Arabidopsis thaliana: one gene and its partners. The protein of the gene in region 3 interacts with the protein of the main gene of each other region in a pairwise test. Each region holds a gene or a part of one and is shown on either strand. Other genes may lie near its edges. The genes, in order: AL5, AL1 and RING1A.

The links.
Region 1: the proteins of RING1A (region 3) and AL5 interact in a two-hybrid assay, tested with the Arabidopsis thaliana proteins (one study listed by BioGRID).
Region 2: the proteins of RING1A (region 3) and AL1 interact in a two-hybrid assay, tested with the Arabidopsis thaliana proteins (one study listed by BioGRID).

The regions. Positions count from the first base shown.
Region 1 is NC_003076.8:6,938,831-6,945,293, reverse strand, and holds AL5 (alfin-like 5), read left to right. Parts: upstream 1-2,282; 5' UTR 2,283-2,447; coding exon 2,448-2,547; exon of another isoform or gene 2,548-2,747; coding exon 2,748-2,780; exon of another isoform or gene 2,781-2,929; coding exon of another isoform or gene 2,930-2,939; exon of another isoform or gene 2,940-3,140; intron 3,141-3,348; coding exon 3,349-3,577; intron 3,578-3,721; coding exon 3,722-3,857; coding exon of another isoform or gene 3,858-3,932; intron 3,933-4,521; exon of another isoform or gene 4,522-5,018; coding exon 5,019-5,303; 3' UTR 5,304-5,481; downstream 5,482-6,463. Other genes in the region: WAV2 (alpha/beta-Hydrolases superfamily protein), read left to right, coding at 9-125, 823-987, 1,409-1,637, 1,751-1,758; AT5G20500 (Glutaredoxin family protein), read right to left, coding at 5,629-5,705, 5,797-5,895, 6,043-6,116. UniProt on the Arabidopsis thaliana protein: Histone-binding component that specifically recognizes H3 tails trimethylated on 'Lys-4' (H3K4me3), which mark transcription start sites of virtually all active genes.
Region 2 is NC_003076.8:1,676,006-1,681,311, reverse strand, and holds AL1 (alfin-like 1), read left to right. Parts: upstream 1-2,204; 5' UTR 2,205-2,369; coding exon 2,370-2,463; intron 2,464-2,559; coding exon 2,560-2,592; intron 2,593-2,716; coding exon 2,717-2,939; intron 2,940-3,484; coding exon 3,485-3,608; intron 3,609-3,729; coding exon 3,730-3,981; 3' UTR 3,982-3,993; exon of another isoform or gene 3,994-4,088; 3' UTR 4,089-4,423; downstream 4,424-5,306. Other genes in the region: GCP2 (gamma-tubulin complex protein 2), read right to left, coding at 1-89, 234-278, 371-445, 548-652, 727-780, 924-1,324, 1,413-1,725, 1,844-1,972. UniProt on the Arabidopsis thaliana protein: Histone-binding component that specifically recognizes H3 tails trimethylated on 'Lys-4' (H3K4me3), which mark transcription start sites of virtually all active genes.
Region 3 is NC_003076.8:17,834,852-17,841,059, reverse strand, and holds RING1A (RING 1A), read left to right. Parts: upstream 1-1,805; 5' UTR 1,806-1,945; coding exon 1,946-2,261; intron 2,262-2,333; exon of another isoform or gene 2,334-2,364; coding exon 2,365-2,410; intron 2,411-2,822; coding exon 2,823-2,881; intron 2,882-2,958; coding exon 2,959-2,989; intron 2,990-3,089; coding exon 3,090-3,132; coding exon of another isoform or gene 3,133-3,171; intron 3,172-3,240; coding exon 3,241-3,257; intron 3,258-3,349; coding exon 3,350-3,470; intron 3,471-3,551; coding exon 3,552-3,593; intron 3,594-3,679; coding exon 3,680-4,231; intron 4,232-4,329; coding exon 4,330-4,437; intron 4,438-4,601; coding exon 4,602-4,811; intron 4,812-4,912; coding exon 4,913-4,945; 3' UTR 4,946-5,211; downstream 5,212-6,208. Other genes in the region: AT5G44290 (Protein kinase superfamily protein), read left to right, coding at 1-90, 173-310; AT5G44270 (TPX2 (targeting protein for Xklp2) protein family), read right to left, coding at 5,320-5,419, 5,520-5,614, 5,702-5,761, 5,844-5,950. UniProt on the Arabidopsis thaliana protein: Putative E3 ubiquitin-protein ligase that mediates monoubiquitination of 'Lys-119' of histone H2A (H2AK119ub), thereby playing a central role in histone code and gene regulation. As part of the PRC1-like complex, repress class I KNOX gene expression.

The DNA of each region.
Region 1 (6,463 bases), about 11 Mb from region 3:
TTTGTTAGGCTGCATTGGATCACCTTTCTGGAAGGACTGACATTGATACATCTAGAATAGTTGTATTTGGAAGGTCCCTTGGGGGAGCTGTTGGAGCTGTGCTTACCAAAAACAATCCAGATAAGGTACTATTAGTACATATTGCTATTGGTAGCATTTCATGAGTAGGGAAAATGTATATTTTATTAGAAGAGAGACAGTATAGGCCAAGTACCAGCCGCCAGCTCTGTGGATGTTACTGTTTAAAGGGAGAAGTATTATTGAGAGTCCCACATGGTTACGAATGAGACTAACAAATGCCTTATAAATTATAACGCCTAAGGGCACCTTCCTCTCTCCTCTAGGGGCTTGGTTTGGATGGCTTCTTATCAGTATATTAATGAGATTCTGGTTACTGTTGCAAATTATTATAACTCATGGTCTTTGGCAGATGACCTGGAGTCCAATTGTATAAAAATTTCTAGAGTACCTCTTTATTTAGATTCTAGTCACTTATCATCAGTAACAATCTACGCGGTTTGTACTATCTGAATATAATTATTTTTTGTGTTAAAGTTTTAGTCATCTGGCAATAAAAGAACCTGGTTGATAGGGGTATTCGTTTGAGCTTTGTTATAGGCCTCCTTTTATCACCCCCACTGATATTTACTATTATATGCACAAGAACCTTATCCTTCTCAGAAAATTTCTTGGTAAATGAAATTTGTAGATGCCTTGATTAAGCTATTATTTTTGTTCTTGTTGTCTCTACTTCCAGTATTTCATTTGATATCCACACGCCTTATAGTTGTATGTTTACCATTTCTCAATGTCGCTATATAGGTATCTGCATTGATTCTGGAAAATACTTTCACATCCATTCTTGATATGGCTGGCGTTTTGCTGCCGTTCTTGAAGTGGTTTATTGGAGGAAGTGGTACGAAAAGCCTGAAGCTTCTTAATTTTGTTGTACGTTCTCCCTGGAAAACAATTGATGCTATTGCTGAGGTAAGATGCAAATGTAGACTCTTGCAGATAGATGTTAGATGGATTCTTTTCGTTTACTGTTTGCATATGCCATAAAATGACTCATTTAAGCAAAAAACACTATGGTACCCCAATGACCTCACTGGCATATATATTAATATATCTCATGCATTTGCATTCCTTCATTTCCTTTTAACGGGACATAGTGTATATATCTTTGCGGAATATGTTGAATTCATGATAAGCTAACCCGAACTATAAAATTATTCATGTATGCCGCAAGCTGATTGATTGCTCCCTGATTTGTTCTATGGAGTAAAACTTGAAAGGAAACAAGAAAGGAGCTTGATGTGCTGCTAAAAACATATCCCTGTTAAAAAAATGTCTCATCGTTTGATTTTCTGTAGCAACCTGTGATAAACTGATCTTGCAACAATGACAGATCAAACAACCAGTGCTTTTCCTCTCTGGACTGCAAGATGAGATGGTCCCTCCATTTCACATGAAAATGCTGTATGCGAAAGCGGCTGCCCGTAACCCTCAGTGCACATTTGTGGAGTTTCCAAGTGGGATGCATATGGATACATGGCTGTCTGGTGGTGAAGTTTACTGGAAAACAAACTTGCAATTTCTCGAAAAGTATGCGCCTGAGAAAAGGAAAGAAGATACAGGTAAGATGATCTACCAAGTATAAGTAACAATTTTGTTTTACAGAGATGTTTCTTGGGATGTTTTTCCCAAAGTAGAATACTAGGCTTGACGTTGGTCTCTAATCTGATGACAGGAAGGTAACGATCAACGATGCTGTGTTTAGAGGAAGATTCGACTCACTTATTTCCTATTGCAACCTGAAACGACGGTATTGTTTGTTATAAGCATGTGTATACGTATGTTGCATTTGGGAGTGACAGATACAACTTGTTCAGAGAGTGAGATATTGGACAGGAACTTTTGTAAGCAGAACCAGCTAGTGGAGATGGCAAGTGTAAGCTAATCAGATGCATTTGCTTCGTCTCAGTTTTCCTTCTTTTTTTTGGGTTATTTTTTTTCCAATTGTTGTTGGTGTTTCTCATCTGATCGTAACTATTTCCTCTGGATGATCATGGCTTTGTAGATGATTGAGAAAAGTGAAAAAAGACATGGTTATATGATTATATCTTGAATGTGTTGATTACGTCTGTCATTCATAATATTTATGAAATCTGTAGAGTAGTTTTTTTCCCGACAAACTTGATTATGTTTGAAAATGAGATAACACCAAACTAAACGCACGAAGACATTATTAATGTCCATTATTTATGTATTTTTATTTTTAAATAAGTGTTGTGACTAGACCGGGTCGGTCACTGTCCACGGGGCAACTTTTTAGTCTGCATTAAGTTTTCTTACTTTATCACTTAAGAACAAAAATTCTGCTTTAGAAAAAAAAAAGAAGCAAACCTCACTGTTCTTTCATCGTTTCCGAGAGAGGAGAGACGGACATGGAAGGAGGAACTGCGCACTACAGCCCTCGAACTGTCGAAGAAGTCTTTCGAGATTTTAAGGGCCGTCGAGCTGGCATCATCCAAGCTCTCACCACTGGTCTCTTCTTTCTTCTCTTTGCTTTTTAAAGTTTGAAACTTTTCTTATGGGTTTTGAGTTTTTCGTGGGAATTCTTCTCATGACGATCGTTTGGTGGCTTTATTTAGACCCTTTTTCAACAATTGTGCTCTAGTGTTATGGATTGTGTTGATGATGCTTAGTTCTTCGAATTAAGAACAATTAATTTCTTTTTTTTGCAGATGTGGAAGATTTTTTCCAGCAATGCGACCCTGGTTAGCTTTTTTCTCTCTCTAGCCTTAAGTATGCTCTCAAGCTGTTTCAGTTATTCCTGATTTTGAATATGCAAAGTTGAGATGGTAACATAGGCTTGTCCAAATCGACACTCACACTGAAAAGTATAAGATCTTGCTCTGCTGCTTACATGTGTTTTGGTACTGGTGACTGATTATGTTGAACATTTGAGCAACTTTTATTTTAGTTCGGTGGTTTGGTCTCCCCATGAACTATATACTCTTTCGCATTTGGTGCTGTTATCTTTCTCTATATCTCGCTTTTGACTTCATGCTTTGTGCCTTGATCGACATAACCATAACCATTTAGAGGTTGCATGTCTCTATGAAATTTCTTGTGGCTCTAAAACTTGTTTTAGTTAAGAGGAATATATTAATTTTTTGTCATCAATATATTAATTTAATAAACATGATTTCGTTATTGAATATAGCTGCTTGTCTTGATTTTACGTAGCTAAATATCGTTTTCAGAGAGTATTTCGTTGCTTTCTCTGCTAATTAAGTAGCGTTGATAAACTGAAGTTTGTATGACTGTTTTATGACATTTCAGAGAAGCAGAATCTCTGCTTGTATGGATTCCCAAATGAAGTGTGGGAAGTTAACTTACCAGCTGAAGAAGTGCCTCCTGAGCTTCCCGAACCTGCACTCGGCATTAACTTTGCCAGAGATGGGATGCAGGAAAGAAACTGGCTTTCTCTCGTTGCTGTCCACAGTGATGCGTGGTTACTTTCTGTGTCTTTTTACTTTGGTTCAAGATTTGGTTTCGATAGAGCTGACAGGTATCATTCTTTCTTTCTTGGTTGCTGTGTTTTCTCTTCTAACCTGGTGTTCGTTGTTTAATATCTTCTCTGCTCAATTCTCTACCATTAATTATCATGATATCTGAAGCATTTCCATACTAACCCGTACACTTACAAATTCAGGAAGCGCTTGTTTAGTATGATAAATGAGGTTCCTACTGTATATGAAGTTGTAACTGGAAATGCAGAGAAGCAAACAAAGGAAATGCCCTCTTCAGCAAATCAAAATGGCAACAGATCCAAGTCAAATTCAAAAATGGTAAGTCTCATGCTCTCCTTTAATAAGATACAGAACATTAATTATGAACTAAGAACAAACCAAATCCTTTATTAACTATGAACTGGGAACTATGAACATTAATTACTATGCTACTCTTCCAAACCCTTTCTCAACTCAGTATCGCGATCCTATCACCTTCGGTTCTCTATATAACTCCTCCCATAGTACACTAACCGGTCTAAGTTGTTCGTTAGTTGAGCTGACAACTCAACTACAATCCTACAGAAAAAGGTCTATGATTGTTAATGGTATCCTGAAAGTTTTGCGGAAATAGCTCTTGTTTCATTCTTAGACCTTCTTTTCGATACTCAAGCTTTGTCCTTCGTCTACTCTTATCATTTTTTGTTTTGTCTTGCAGTATTTCAGAAATTAGGAATGGTTAAATGGATATTCAATAAAGCACAGCACTGGCATATGTTATTCACATTCACATCGTAAAGGATTCAACCTATTTATGACATTTTCATATACAGTCATTGCACTATCTTGGAAGTCTCATTTGAGTAGCTGCTACACAATTCAACTATAGTTTAACAGAACACCTTGATTTCTAACTTTTTAAGAGACACGTTTGGAAATATTTGAACATTGAAATTATTTATAGTTATATGAAAGGTTTTCCTTCTTATATTATAACTACATATATATTTATTTATGTTTCAGATAACACAACCATATTTGATCAGGGTTAAAGTATCAGAAACTGTTTTGTTTTTGTGCTTTAAGGTTACTGTTGTAGCGTACCTACTACCTACAATACTTCTCATTTTCTGCTAACCTCGAGCGTATGCTGCACAAGTTTGTTCCTTAAACATCTGTTTCATCATATGCATTATAGATTGAGATCTTACACAGTTTGCTATTGAGTTCTAAAACATTAACTGAACACAATACTCTTACTTCCATAATCGTAGTTTGTGAATTGTGTGGCATAAGAAACCTCTTAAGTTTCAGGCAGCACAAAGATGTATCTTTAGTTGCAATCATCTAAGCGGCAGGTCTGGAATTACTGTATCAGTATGCAATGAAATGGCCAATTTATCACAAGCTTACCGCTCCAGTGACACTTGTTGATTACTTTTTATAGTTTACTCTCTGCTATTTTGGTGTAGTTAATACATTTCTTGATCTGGAATGCAGAGAGGTTTAGAAAGTAAAAGTTCAAAGACGATACATGCCAAGGATGAGGAAGAAGGATTAGAGTTAGAAGAAGGGGAAGAGGAAGAGGATGAGGATGAAGACGAACACGGTGAAACCCTATGTGGAGCATGTGGAGATAACTATGCTTCTGATGAATTCTGGATTTGCTGTGACATGTGCGAGAAATGGTTCCACGGGGAGTGTGTGAAGATCACTCCAGCTAGAGCGGAGCATATCAAGCATTACAAGTGCCCTACTTGCAGCAACAAAAGAGCACGACCCTAGATGTTTTATTTCCACTAATCTTAGCTACTATCTATTTTGTTTTATTTCCACTAGTCTTAGCTACTCTCTATTTATCCCCCAAACAGTACAATGCACTTAAAGTTTGTGTGTTGTTCAGATAAGTTATTTGTAGCATGTCCAGATTTGATTCCTCAACCCAATTTGTATAACTCAGAATGTGGTCTTTGATAAGATACGTTTAAAAGGCAAGATCAAGCTGTCACAAGGTCATGATCAAGCTGCAGAACACAATACAAATGGAAATTGAATTGCTTACACCTAAGCATCACAGAGAGTGTTATCAATTCTTCCAACTATATATAACCTAGAGTTCAGCTTCTTTGTTCCCGGAAACACCAAGAAGCTTGGCGAGTTCACCGCTCTCATACGCATCTACGGTATCTATAACCAGAAACAAAGATAAATCTATCGATCAGCAAATGTTGGCATAAGCAAAGACGTTTTGTTGAAGGAAAAGGAGTGTTAAGTATACCATCTGATCCTCCGAGATGTTTTCCGTTAATGAAGACTTGCGGTACTGTTCGCCTTCCAACAATCTCTCCAAGTGCAGTCTGGATGCTCCAACCATCTTCTGCAAGACCAAATTTTTACCAACCATTAGTCACAAATGAATCTTCTACATAGTGATCGGACAAAGTTTCAAATGACAGAAATGTCTGAGAGCTAAGAAACATTGTTGGATGATGAAGACATGATTCCCTTTAACCTTAAAACACACCTCTTTCATCAAGCTCGACAACATAAGGAACTTGATCCAGCTCTCTGAACACTGATTTAGCTTTCTTGCAGTAGCTGTTGACCAAACCACAAGGAAGCAAAGGAAAAGTAGAGATGAGTCATATACATAGGTACATGATCTCTCTACACAACTCAATTAAGGCCAAAGGAAAAGCAAAGAGAACAAATACTGAGAACTGAACCTGAATATATCTTAAACGAAAATCCATATTGATTTCAACCACCATTTGTAAACAGAGATAACAAAGTTGTCTCATAAAAATCCAAATCTAACGAATACAAGTTCATTGGGTTCAAGTTTTCACTCATATTTCAGATATTAAGATCTAAAAAACAAAATCGCAAATTGAAGTCACCCAAGATCCAATTTTTCTGCGAATCGGATAAAAAGTGATTAAACA
Region 2 (5,306 bases), about 16 Mb from region 3:
TGCTTCTTCCTCAATTTGTCATATTGGCTCAAACATCTGCTGAAAAGGTGCCTGATACTAGTGTGGCTTGCTAACATAAGACCACTGACCTGAAATATCAAATACACCACCAAACTTAAGAGTCTTCGATGTATCTACTAAAGCAGGAACTGCAGCCTTAGACATTAACTGTAAGGAGTACCAACTCTCAGCATGAGTGCATGACAGATATATATAGAGTGATATAAGATTACCCTATGGGAAGTTTGAACATACGGGGACTTCTTGGAAAGAGCAACCTGTTGAGAGTAAGATATGGAAAAAATTGTGATGCAAGTCCATGGTAAATCCAAAAGCAATAATTAATTTGACGACGCAATTCGGTTAGAACCTGTATGCTTGCTGGTCCCCAGTCTATGAAATTGACAAGCTTTCTTTCTCGTATCCTCTGCAAACTCTCATGCACCTAATATCAAGTAGTGAGACAACAGAGCAGATAACATCAACAAGAAAGAATTACCGATTCATCCTCAATATATCGAACAAAAAAATTAGTACATAAAAGTACCTGAGTGGGATCGACTTCTCCTTGAATTATATTCAATATTGATATGTACTTTGCCTGACTAGCTTCTTTGTTTCTAGCATAAGACGAAACCATGATATTTTTTGTCTGCGAATACAATCATGTTAGAAGAAAATCTAATTCAATTTTCGAAAAAAGACTGGAGAAAGCAAACAGCTCACCTGTAGAAGTCTCCTCATAACATCCAGCACAGTAGTTTTACGAATAACATTTGCCTGCCAAGAACAATTCACATAAGAGAGTAGGAAATCAATGAAAATGTCAATCATAACATTCAGAAGTCATGTTCCAGATAACAGCAGCTTCCCATAAAAATGGTTTGATGATATTAGTTATAAAACTGATTGAGATATCTAACCTGGCGCTCAACAGTCAACGGTGTATATCCAGTCATGAGGAAGTGACACCTTGGAGTTGGGATCAAAGATGCAAGCAAGCCAACCAAGTCATTATTCATGTATCCAGGATAACGCAACGTTGTTGTGCTAGCAGACATCACAGTTGACACCAAAGAATTGGTCTGAGCAAAAGTAGGATTAGTCAAATGTAGACGCTCCACAGCAATTCTGTTCAATGCAGTGTTGTCAAGAACAACAACACAATCAGCATTTAACGTAAGCCGCTTCAGCGTCAACAGTGAGTTGTAGGGCTGGACAACAACGTCACTCGTTTCCATCTGATTGGGAAATACACTGTATGTCTGAACCAACTTCTTGCTATAACGATCATTCAAAGTCTCCAACAAATAAGATCCCATTCCTTCATGTGAAAATACATAAAAAAAAGTCATTCAGTGAATAAACATAAGCTAAACGAAGATAGGGATTGGCAATAAAAAGTAAAATACCTGAGCCAGTGCCTCCAGCAATAGAGTGGCAAAGAACAAAACCCTCCAGACTGTCACTTCCATCAGCTTCACGATCAATCATGTCCATGATTTCCTCTTCAACACCTTTCCCTTGGTGATATCCACTGGCCCAGTTATTACCAGCACCACCGCCATGGTCAGAAAGGAAGATATTTTCATGATTGTAGAGATTCCGGTATTCACCATTCTGAATACCATTGATAACTCTAGGCTCCAAATCAATGAGGAGAGCTCTTGGTATATAGTGTTGGTCATCCGCTTGGTAAAAAAACACATCTTTTCTATCACCTCCCTACATACATACAAGTAGTTCATCAATCAAATCCACAATTCTATGAACAACAACAACAAACCAGCAACCATGGAATTCAATTAATCGATGCATAGAAACGAATTCGAAGAAAGAGGACCTGAGTAGCGAAGTCCTCGAGAATACCATCTTTGCTGATGCCGTGCTCAAGGCAAAGCTGTTTCCAGAACTCCATACCGATCTGGTTCCCACATTGTCCAACCTGAAGCGTAATTATCTCCCTCGGCATCTTCTTCCTCTGTAAAACCCTACCTAAGTGTTTCGAGACTACTACGCCTGAAGAGGATGATCAAACTATACTCATTAAAGCCACACTTTCAGCTTCTTCTTTACTCATTTACAGAGAGATACAGAGAGAAAACGTCGTTTTATCAGAATTCAACTCGATGGGCCATGGGCCAGGCCCATTTTAAAATAGAGACCAAAAACAGAAGTTACTTTACTACTACTACTCTTAAAGTCTTAAACTCTGGTCTCTCTCTATCTCTCTTGTCCGTGCGCATCGGATTTTGGAAACCATTGATGCAGACCTCAATCCATCTCTAACACCACTGATCTATCTACTTAGGTCTTCTCTAACAATACTTGTAATTTTCTTTCTTTTTGCTTCTTCCGTCACTACATCTATGGCCGCTGAGTCTTCTAACCCTCGCACCGTCGAAGAGATCTTCAAGGATTTTAGCGGTCGTCGCTCCGGTTTTCTTCGAGCTCTCTCCGTAGGTTAGACGACGACGCTATCCTCATTTTCTCCTATTTTCTCGTAAATGTTAAGCTTTCTAATTTTACATGTTGTTGTTCTTGCCTCTCTTTTACTAGATGTTGACAAGTTCTACTCTTTATGCGATCCGGGTAAACGAGCTCTTTCCATGGTTATTTTTCGGATCTGTGTTTGTTTTTTCCATGGATAAGTTTCAGAAAAAGATACCCTTTTTGATAAATTTTGTTCCTTTTTTTGTTTATTGGGTGGTCTTAGAAATGGAGAATCTGTGTTTGTACGGACACCCGAATGGGACATGGGAAGTGAATCTTCCAGCTGAGGAAGTGCCTCCGGAGCTACCTGAGCCAGCTCTTGGAATCAATTTCGCTAGAGATGGTATGCAGCGTAAAGATTGGCTCTCTTTAGTTGCTGTCCACAGTGATTGTTGGTTACTCTCTGTTTCTTCTTACTTCGGCGCTCGTCTTAATCGCAATGAGAGGTACGTTTGCCTTTTGTTCTTGCTTGTTTCAGTGACTTTTATAAATTGTCGAAGATAGTTTTACTGTGCTAGCTAGATTGTGGTGGTAATGATGAGAAAAAATATGTCTTTGGACAATGGACTGTATCATGATTCATGAGCTTGTGTCATCACTATTTTGTTTTTGTTTCCTGATTCTTTCTGTCACTTTAACTCTACTTGTCAATGAGCTTCTTTCCTTCTTAGGTTAAGTTTCTTTAAATGCATACCATTTTTCACTAATCCTTCTGTTTTTTGAACTTGTGCATCGTTTGGATATAGAAATGGCTACTACATTCAATACATATCTGTTCTATCGGAGCTGATGATATCGTGGTATTCACTAGGTTACTTATCCAGTTATCCTTCAAGTTTTATTTCCTTTACGTTCTATAAGAGTCTATGTTTTTGCTGGTAATGAAGCTCATAAGTTACATATGTGCGGGTATATGAGCTTATTTGATAGTCTTCTGAGATTATGCTACTGGGTCTAGGAACTTATTATGTATGTTCCATTCAATGAGCAGGAAACGTCTATTTAGTCTGATCAACGATCTCCCAACTCTCTTTGAAGTAGTGACGGGTAGGAAACCCATCAAAGACGGTAAACCAAGCATGGATCTCGGAAGCAAATCCAGAAACGGCGTAAAGGTATCATAATGAACTCTTTACTAATCTTTACCATCCCAAAACAGTATTTTCTTCTCAAAGACAGAGAAGGGTTTGATATTAATAAATTAGTTGTGTTTTGGTTGGTATTGAATTGTTGCAGAGATCAATTGAAGGGCAGACAAAGAGCACGCCGAAACTAATGGAAGAGAGCTATGAAGATGAAGACGATGAGCATGGAGACACACTCTGTGGAAGTTGTGGAGGAAACTACACAAACGACGAGTTCTGGATATGTTGTGATGTGTGTGAACGTTGGTACCATGGGAAGTGTGTGAAGATAACACCAGCCAAAGCAGAGAGCATCAAGCAATACAAATGCCCTTCTTGCTGCACTAAGAAAGGAAGACAGTGAGTGAATGAATGAGTGAGTCATCTTTCTCATTTTTCCTTATTTCTTTTTAAGTTATTGCAAAACATCCTTTTGTTAATGTATGAATACAAAACAATTATTGGTGTTAGATTCTCAAAAAGGGCGTTTTAAAATAGTAATGAGGGTATGAGACATGGAGAGAGTCATAGAGACACCAGCTGCTTAGAGAGCTTCGTCAACTTTTGATCAAATATGCCATGTGTTTGTATATGTAGCGACTCTACTACTTTCATCGTTTATGTGTGTAATCTCTCTTTAGGCTAATATAAAAAAAAATATTCTTATGTAAGGTTGATCTTCATAATCTCTCATATGGTATTTTAACTAAGAGTTTGTACTGACAAAATTTAAGTGGTTATAGTGGTGTTTTGTTATGTACACAAAACCAAAATAGTGGGGAAAAAACCTCATCTCCTGCAGTCTCTAATCCCTAAAACTGAATTGACGGGAAAAGTCGTTATATTTGTGATTTCAATTTCATAAAGTATAGTATAACCTCCATAAATTAATACTCGACAAATTAATAACTTTTATAAATTAATAAATTCTTCCGGTTCTAAGTTGGGACCAATGTAAAAATTGATACAAATTAATAAATTAATAAGATAATAACTTTTTTTGAAAATCTTATATAAATATATGGTCCCATCAATATTATAAATTAATAATTATGTAAATTTACCAATATATATATATATATATATATATATTCTATTTAAAATATTTATTGAAATATGACTCTAGTATTATTTTTTCTTCAATTTCTATTAATTATTTGTAGAGTTTAATTCTAATATTTTTATTACGTCAAAAAAACTTTGTATTATTTTTTAAACTTAATAATTATTTTTTCCTTGTAATTAATTTTAGAAAAAATGATTAATTATAAAGAAAAACTACTTTTATATCGAAATTTTATAAAAAATAATACAAAATTTGTAAAAATTTTCTATAAATTAATAATTATTAATTTATCGATAAATTAATACCTCTCTAAATTAATAAATTTTCTCGGTCCCAACATTATTAATTTATAGAGATTTTACTGTACAACAATTACCACACTTTAGATTCAATACTAAAAAAGAGTTTACAAATTATGATAAGTTTTCAGTACAGCCTTTGAAAACTCGATCCATGAGAGTGATTGAGCCATTTGTTGACTATTCCATCACTAAATCTCTGGCCACGGAGTCTCTGGTCTACTGCCATTTTCCATTATTGTCAATTTGTCATATAACATTTATAAGTTAATCTGAACTTTAGTTAACGACCAAAAGTATTAGAGAGGGGATTAACGTTATAAA
Region 3 (6,208 bases):
CAGCAAAGGAAGGAATTGAGAACATTCAACAGAGCTGACACTATGGATAATAGTAAAAGACAAACCAAAATCCCAAATGACCCATCTTGGGTAAGTCATCTCAAGAGACTATTTTTTTCCTCATTTCTCAGTTACATTGTCTTTATCTCTCTCTCTCTCTTTGGAGATATAGTATGATTCAGGGGATAACAAGATGTACATGTCCGGTCCATTACTGGCTCAGCCAAGAAAAGTGGATCAGATGCTGGAAGAACACGACCGGCAGCTCCAAGATTTCACCAGACAGAAAGCAAAACACTGCAGAAACTAAATCACGTATCTGAATGATTTTGCTGGGAGTCTTTTATCAGAGGACAAAAACAGAGAACCATTCAAGTCTTGTTGTATCAAGAAGAGTCTTATTTGGTTCGTAGATTTTGAAAAATTTGTTTGTAATATATAGAGATTAAAAGATTGTTGTTGGCTTATAAAAAGCTAAGCTCTGTGGTTATAGAGTGATGTGTATAACATTTATACAGACTCATCATAGAGTTTGGTTCTTTGTGTATATTACATGTATGTACACTTCTTCATATATTACAGAGATGTGTACATAACATAACATATCCATATATGTTTCATAGATTCCTATTATCAGTATGCTGTTTCTGATTACATATTTTTACAAGTTCCTAACTTTCAATCAGATTCTGATAAAAGGCTCTTGAAGATAGTAAAACAGTTTGATAAAGATTTGAAAGAAGAAACATATGGAGAATCAGATTAACAAGTCATTCTCATACACAGTAAACTGTGTCAGAAGGTGTCCTAAGATATTTACTGATTATTATCATCATATTTCTCCAAGATGTTATCTTTCACCAATTTGATTACTTGAAAAACTGAATCTGAAATTACTAAAAACAAAACTTATGAAAACTGTTTTCTTTAAAGGGATGAAGAATCAGAAAGAACGTAGCGAATTGAAGTTTTTATCGATCAATTGAATCTAAAGAATCATCACACATAATCGACAACTTTCATCACATTCTTCAGACCAATTTCAAACAAAGAAAATTCGTAAAACGGAATATTGCAAAAGAAGCGAAATTGAGAAACGAGAAGAAGAAATCGAATGAATGTACAAAGAACGGCGGAAGATGAGCTATTTATAAGAGATTGAGAAGAAACCCTAAATTTATCTGTTTGACTAAAAAAGACAAAATCTTTAAACTCTCTGTTTGGACACAAGTACAATTCCAGTTCGGACTGTTTTTATTGGTTACAAATTTCCTTTTTCTTCCTTTGCTTTTGTTGGGCCTTCTTGCTTAAACATTCTTTACTCAATTTTGGCCCAGTCTATTGTTCTAATTTAATACAATAAACCTTGTTAAATATAGTTTAACGAAAGTGATAAACAAATAGCCGTCTTAGCTCAGTGGTAGAGCGCGTGGCTTTTAACCACGTGGCCGTGGGTTCGATCCCCACAGACGGCGTAGCTCTTTGATTTTGTTATAGTTAGTCATTTTATTATTTTTAGTCAAAAATTCAATTTTACAATTTAATCATGGCTTTGGCAAGTGAGCAAGTGGGTTTAAATTTAAATATTTTTCTTTTTTTTCGACAGCAATACAATTTTATAAAAGCGGTCGATTTTATGTTTTTTAAGTTTTATAATCCGGTTTAAATAATAGAATTAGGAGATATTAAGAAGAAAAAAATATAATTAGGATATATTAATTAAAGTGAAGAAAAATGGCAAAAAAAAAAAAGAGGCCAAAATTCTCACTTTTTTCTTCGACCGATTTCTTTCTCCTATTTCGTCTATATCGGCACCGAACCAAAAACACAAACGAAGCAGAACAAGAAGAAGAAGAAGAATAGAGAGAGACGTAGAGAGAGAGAGACAAAGGCTGAGCCTTTTGGGTTTCTCTTAGAGAGAAGATCTTTAGTGTGTGTCCCTACAATGTCTGTCAAGAATAATAGCTTCTCGTCGGCTGAGATTCCCGATGTGGCAGACCAACCACGCGACCGATTTAACCCCGAAGCTACACAGGATCTACAAGAGAAGGATGAGACGAAAGAAGAGAAAGAAGGAGATGAGGAAGTGAAACACGACGAAGCGGAGGAAGACCAAGAAGTAGTGAAACCCAACGACGCCGAGGAAGATGATGATGGTGACGATGCAGAGGAGGACGAGGAAGAAGAAGTAGAAGCAGAGGAAGATGAAGAAGCAGAGGAAGAGGAAGAAGAAGAAGAGGAAGAAGAAGAAGAAGAAGAAGGTAAAGGATGTGTTTTTGTTTCTTCTACTCTCGTGTAAACGTGAGAGTGTTTTGTGTTTGTTCATGTGATCGATTTGGTTCTCTCTCTTTGTTTCTGTTTCAGATTCTAAAGAAAGAAGTCCATCTTCTATATCTGGAGACCAATCAGAGTAATGATTTTTCTCATTTCTCTGTCTTTCTCTTCTCCAGATGTGTTTAGCTTGTGATGGGTTCTCTACTCCAATATTTCTTTACTTCTGTTGTTCTAGTCAATTAAATGTTAAAATTGCTCTGCTTGATTTAGTAATCTGTTGATGCATCTTCTTAGCACTTGCATGTTGTAATTCCTCTCGTATTACTGCTCAAAACCTCTACGCTCTTGTGGCTAAACAATGTAAAGTCTTTACCTTGAATAATAGCGGCCATTACTGGAAGTTGTGTCCTAAGAATGATTCATCTTCTATTTAACTTGACCTTTAGAATGTCAGCTTTATTTTTGTCTTGAGATAGATTCTTTACTGTAGAATAAAGAAGCTGGATGGATCTTTCTTGTTTAATTGTGTCTGCATTTTTTTCATGCAGGTTTATGGAAATTGATCTAGGGGAAATCCGTAAAGACGTGCAGTGTCCAATATGCCTAGGTACTCAATTTTGTCCTGAATATTTCTCGTTGGGAACAGAACTTTTGCTAAAGCTCGAAAGCCGTTACTTTCTTCAGTCGGCATGAAATTCTTGCGTCTTTTCATATCGTATTCTTGTAGATAAGTCGGCATGATTTGGTTCACACTCTATTTTTAAGCTACATTACTACATCTGGCTGAAACGAGTTTCTTGTTGTCCTGTTTTCAGGTATTATAAAGAAAACAAGGACTGTGATGGAATGTCTCCACAGGTTCTGCCGGGAATGTATTGATAAGTCAATGAGATTGGGGTACGGTTTCAAATTGTTTGGGTCTTACTCTTATTATCTATGTTGTTTTCGTTTCTTCTTGCTTCTCAGTTCTGTGCCACTTTCAAGTTAAATATTTCATCATTCTCTTGGGAGCCATAAGTGTTGGCTTTTCTAAAGCTTTTTTTTGAGTTTATATTAACTGAAGTTTCTATTGCAGGAATAACGAATGTCCTGCTTGCAGGAAGCATTGTGCAAGCCGGCGTTCTCTAAGAGACGATCCGAAATTTGATGCTCTTATTGCTGCTTTATTTACAAATATTGATAGTTATGAGGAAGAGGTAAAGCATCAACATATTTTTCCTGCTTGTTTGTTTTGGAGAGATTGTTGCTGTTAAAACGCTTTGTTTTTTTTGGTTCAGGAACTGGCTTTTCACGAAGATGAAATGGCTCGTAATAAGCAGGTCGGATACCATGGAGAATGTTGTTATTCACTTTTTTGACTATTGCTTAAAATATACTTAATCACCTTCTTATGGCTTTTGTGTAGATTCAAGCATCTATAGCTCAGATATCGCAACGACAATCTGAGGCTCTTGTGAAAAGACGATCTCTTGGTAAAGAGGCAGCAGTCTTAATGAGATCACCGCGTATTGCTAGTGGCTCCAGAAGGAGACGGAACAGCAGAAACATGGAACAACAAAACGCATCAGAAGCTCATGAAGATGATGATAATGATGATAATAACAACAGAGGAAGAGACAAAGATTCGTCTTCAGATGAGCGTGGTACAGAAGTCCGGCAGAAGAAACGTAGAAAACGGTCTACAAGTCGTTCAACACAACACCCTTCTTCTTCAGGTGCAAACAAAAACAATGGTAACTGTGCAGATAACGACACAGAAGTGTATAGAGACACCAAAGGCATATCTCCCGGGCTTGTGTGGAATCCCGAGATACTGGCTTGGGGAAGAGGCGGGACAAGGAGTAACACAAGGCATGGGAATAATACTTCTGGAGGTAGTAGTAAGAGTGTAAGGAATGCCCGTGTGAACAAACTTGTTGAATATCTACGCAGCAGCGTAGATGGATCTAGTGTTGAGGTACCAAAGAAAAAAAACGATGATTCTCTTCTTCTTGATGACCTGTATTTTTGATTGCAGTTAGTTTGGATTTCGATTAAACTTAATCTTTCTTGCAGTTGGATATTCATGTCAAGCTTGTCTCGCTGGATACAAAATGTATACCAGACTTACCACAGCCATATCTCTGTTGCCGACCCACTTTGCTTGTAAAACAGCTCCGTGAAGTGAGCACTCTCTCTCCCTTTACAGTTATCATCAGACTTGTCACAGTAGAAAGTGGTTTTTTGTTATATATATTGATGCGAAAGTACTTCAATATGATTCAATAACAAAAATGATTTCAGTATCACATACGCTAATATATTTGTCAACTTTCAATGTTGTACAGTTCGTTGCACTTCAGATACATTTGAAGACTGAAGAGGTTGAATTGTTAGTAACAAGAAGAAGAGTAGGAGAAGATGCGGCAATAGAGAATCTTCCTGCAGTGACTCCAGCTTCAGCAGCAGCATCTAAAGATGAGATGCTGAGTTTGGAAGACAATGAAACATTGTCAAGGCTCAAAATCGATTTCATTTCAAGCCATGAACAACATTTGGTAGCGTCAATAATAATAATTTTTATCTAAATATCTTACAGTCTAATCTAAGTATGATTCAACTTTGTGAGACTTTTTCCTTATTTGGTTTGTGCCTTCAGATCATAGCTTACCGGAAGAAGCAAACTGAGTGAAGAAACTTGGAGCCTAATGGACGTGCTGCGGAAGTGCAAACAGTGTATAATATATAAACAGATGGATCAGGGCTTGTTTTGTTTATCCGTTTGCTAGATTATATATCTCAGTTGGTTTTTTTATTTAGGAAGTTTTTTGTTTGTGACAAACTTTTTTCCTTTGTGTATTCATTGTAGACGTTGCTTAGTATTTCCGGAGCAAGTTTTTATATGGAAACCTTTTTTTTACTATATATATATCAGTCAAGTCTCAGAACACAGGAAGATTATGCTACTGCCTCATTTTATAATGGAGACGTTGAGCGGTTGGTGCGGTTCAAACGTTCTTGAACAGCAATATCTGCTGCTGCTTAGTCTTTTTTACTTTTTAACAGCTACCTCATGTGAGGAGAAACCATCATCATTGTTCTCCTGTCGATTCTTCTAATCACTCTAAGCTTTGGTGAATTTGGTTTTGTCGTCTCCTTGTTCGACCTGTGTTTAATTGACATGGAGTTTTCTTTGTTTAACAAGTGTAGGTAAAAATCAAGAACAGAAAAGAAGAAATCAACTCCTGGTTTGGATCAGAACTTACTTGTGAGGTAAGAATGGGTTGTTAAGGTTTGACACTGGTCTGGTTTGAGGAACGATTGTCCTTCTCAGTTGTTTTAGAGCTCTCTCTTCCTCTACCTGACAAAGTTTTAGGTAAAATACATTTACTATCATACTCTTTTATTAGATACATCTATACTTGGCAGAAAATTTATAGTATTATACCATTTTTGCGGCTTCCGCCTCTTCGAGATGTCTCTTGTACATCATCTCTTTCTCTTTGATCTGGAACCAAAGATGATAGAACAAGTTAGTTGAGAAATCAAAAGGTTTCTTTTAATCTGCTGATCGAGTTAGATAAGCTTACTTTATGGTCAAAGTCTGCCCTTTCGATAGGCCGATGGTCCACATGCAGATTAAACTCTTGAAAAATTCTGTAAGAGGCCTTTAGTTTATCCAGAACAGAAATTTGATCTCTGAGTCAGCCAGTCAGGTGAGAATTCACAGAAATTATTTGAGTCTTTGAATATGTAAAGGAAACTGTATATGTTGACGAAGAAACAGCAGATGAACAGTCACTTACTCTTTAATCACTGGCTGTGCTCTGAAGACAATAGGAAACAAACAAAAGCTCTATAGCCTGAGACATTTCCGTCGACACTACTGAAGATGTCTCTCTCCGTACGGGCTAGCGGCTAGCCCGGGCCATCGTTTCTAGATGGAACTCCTGCA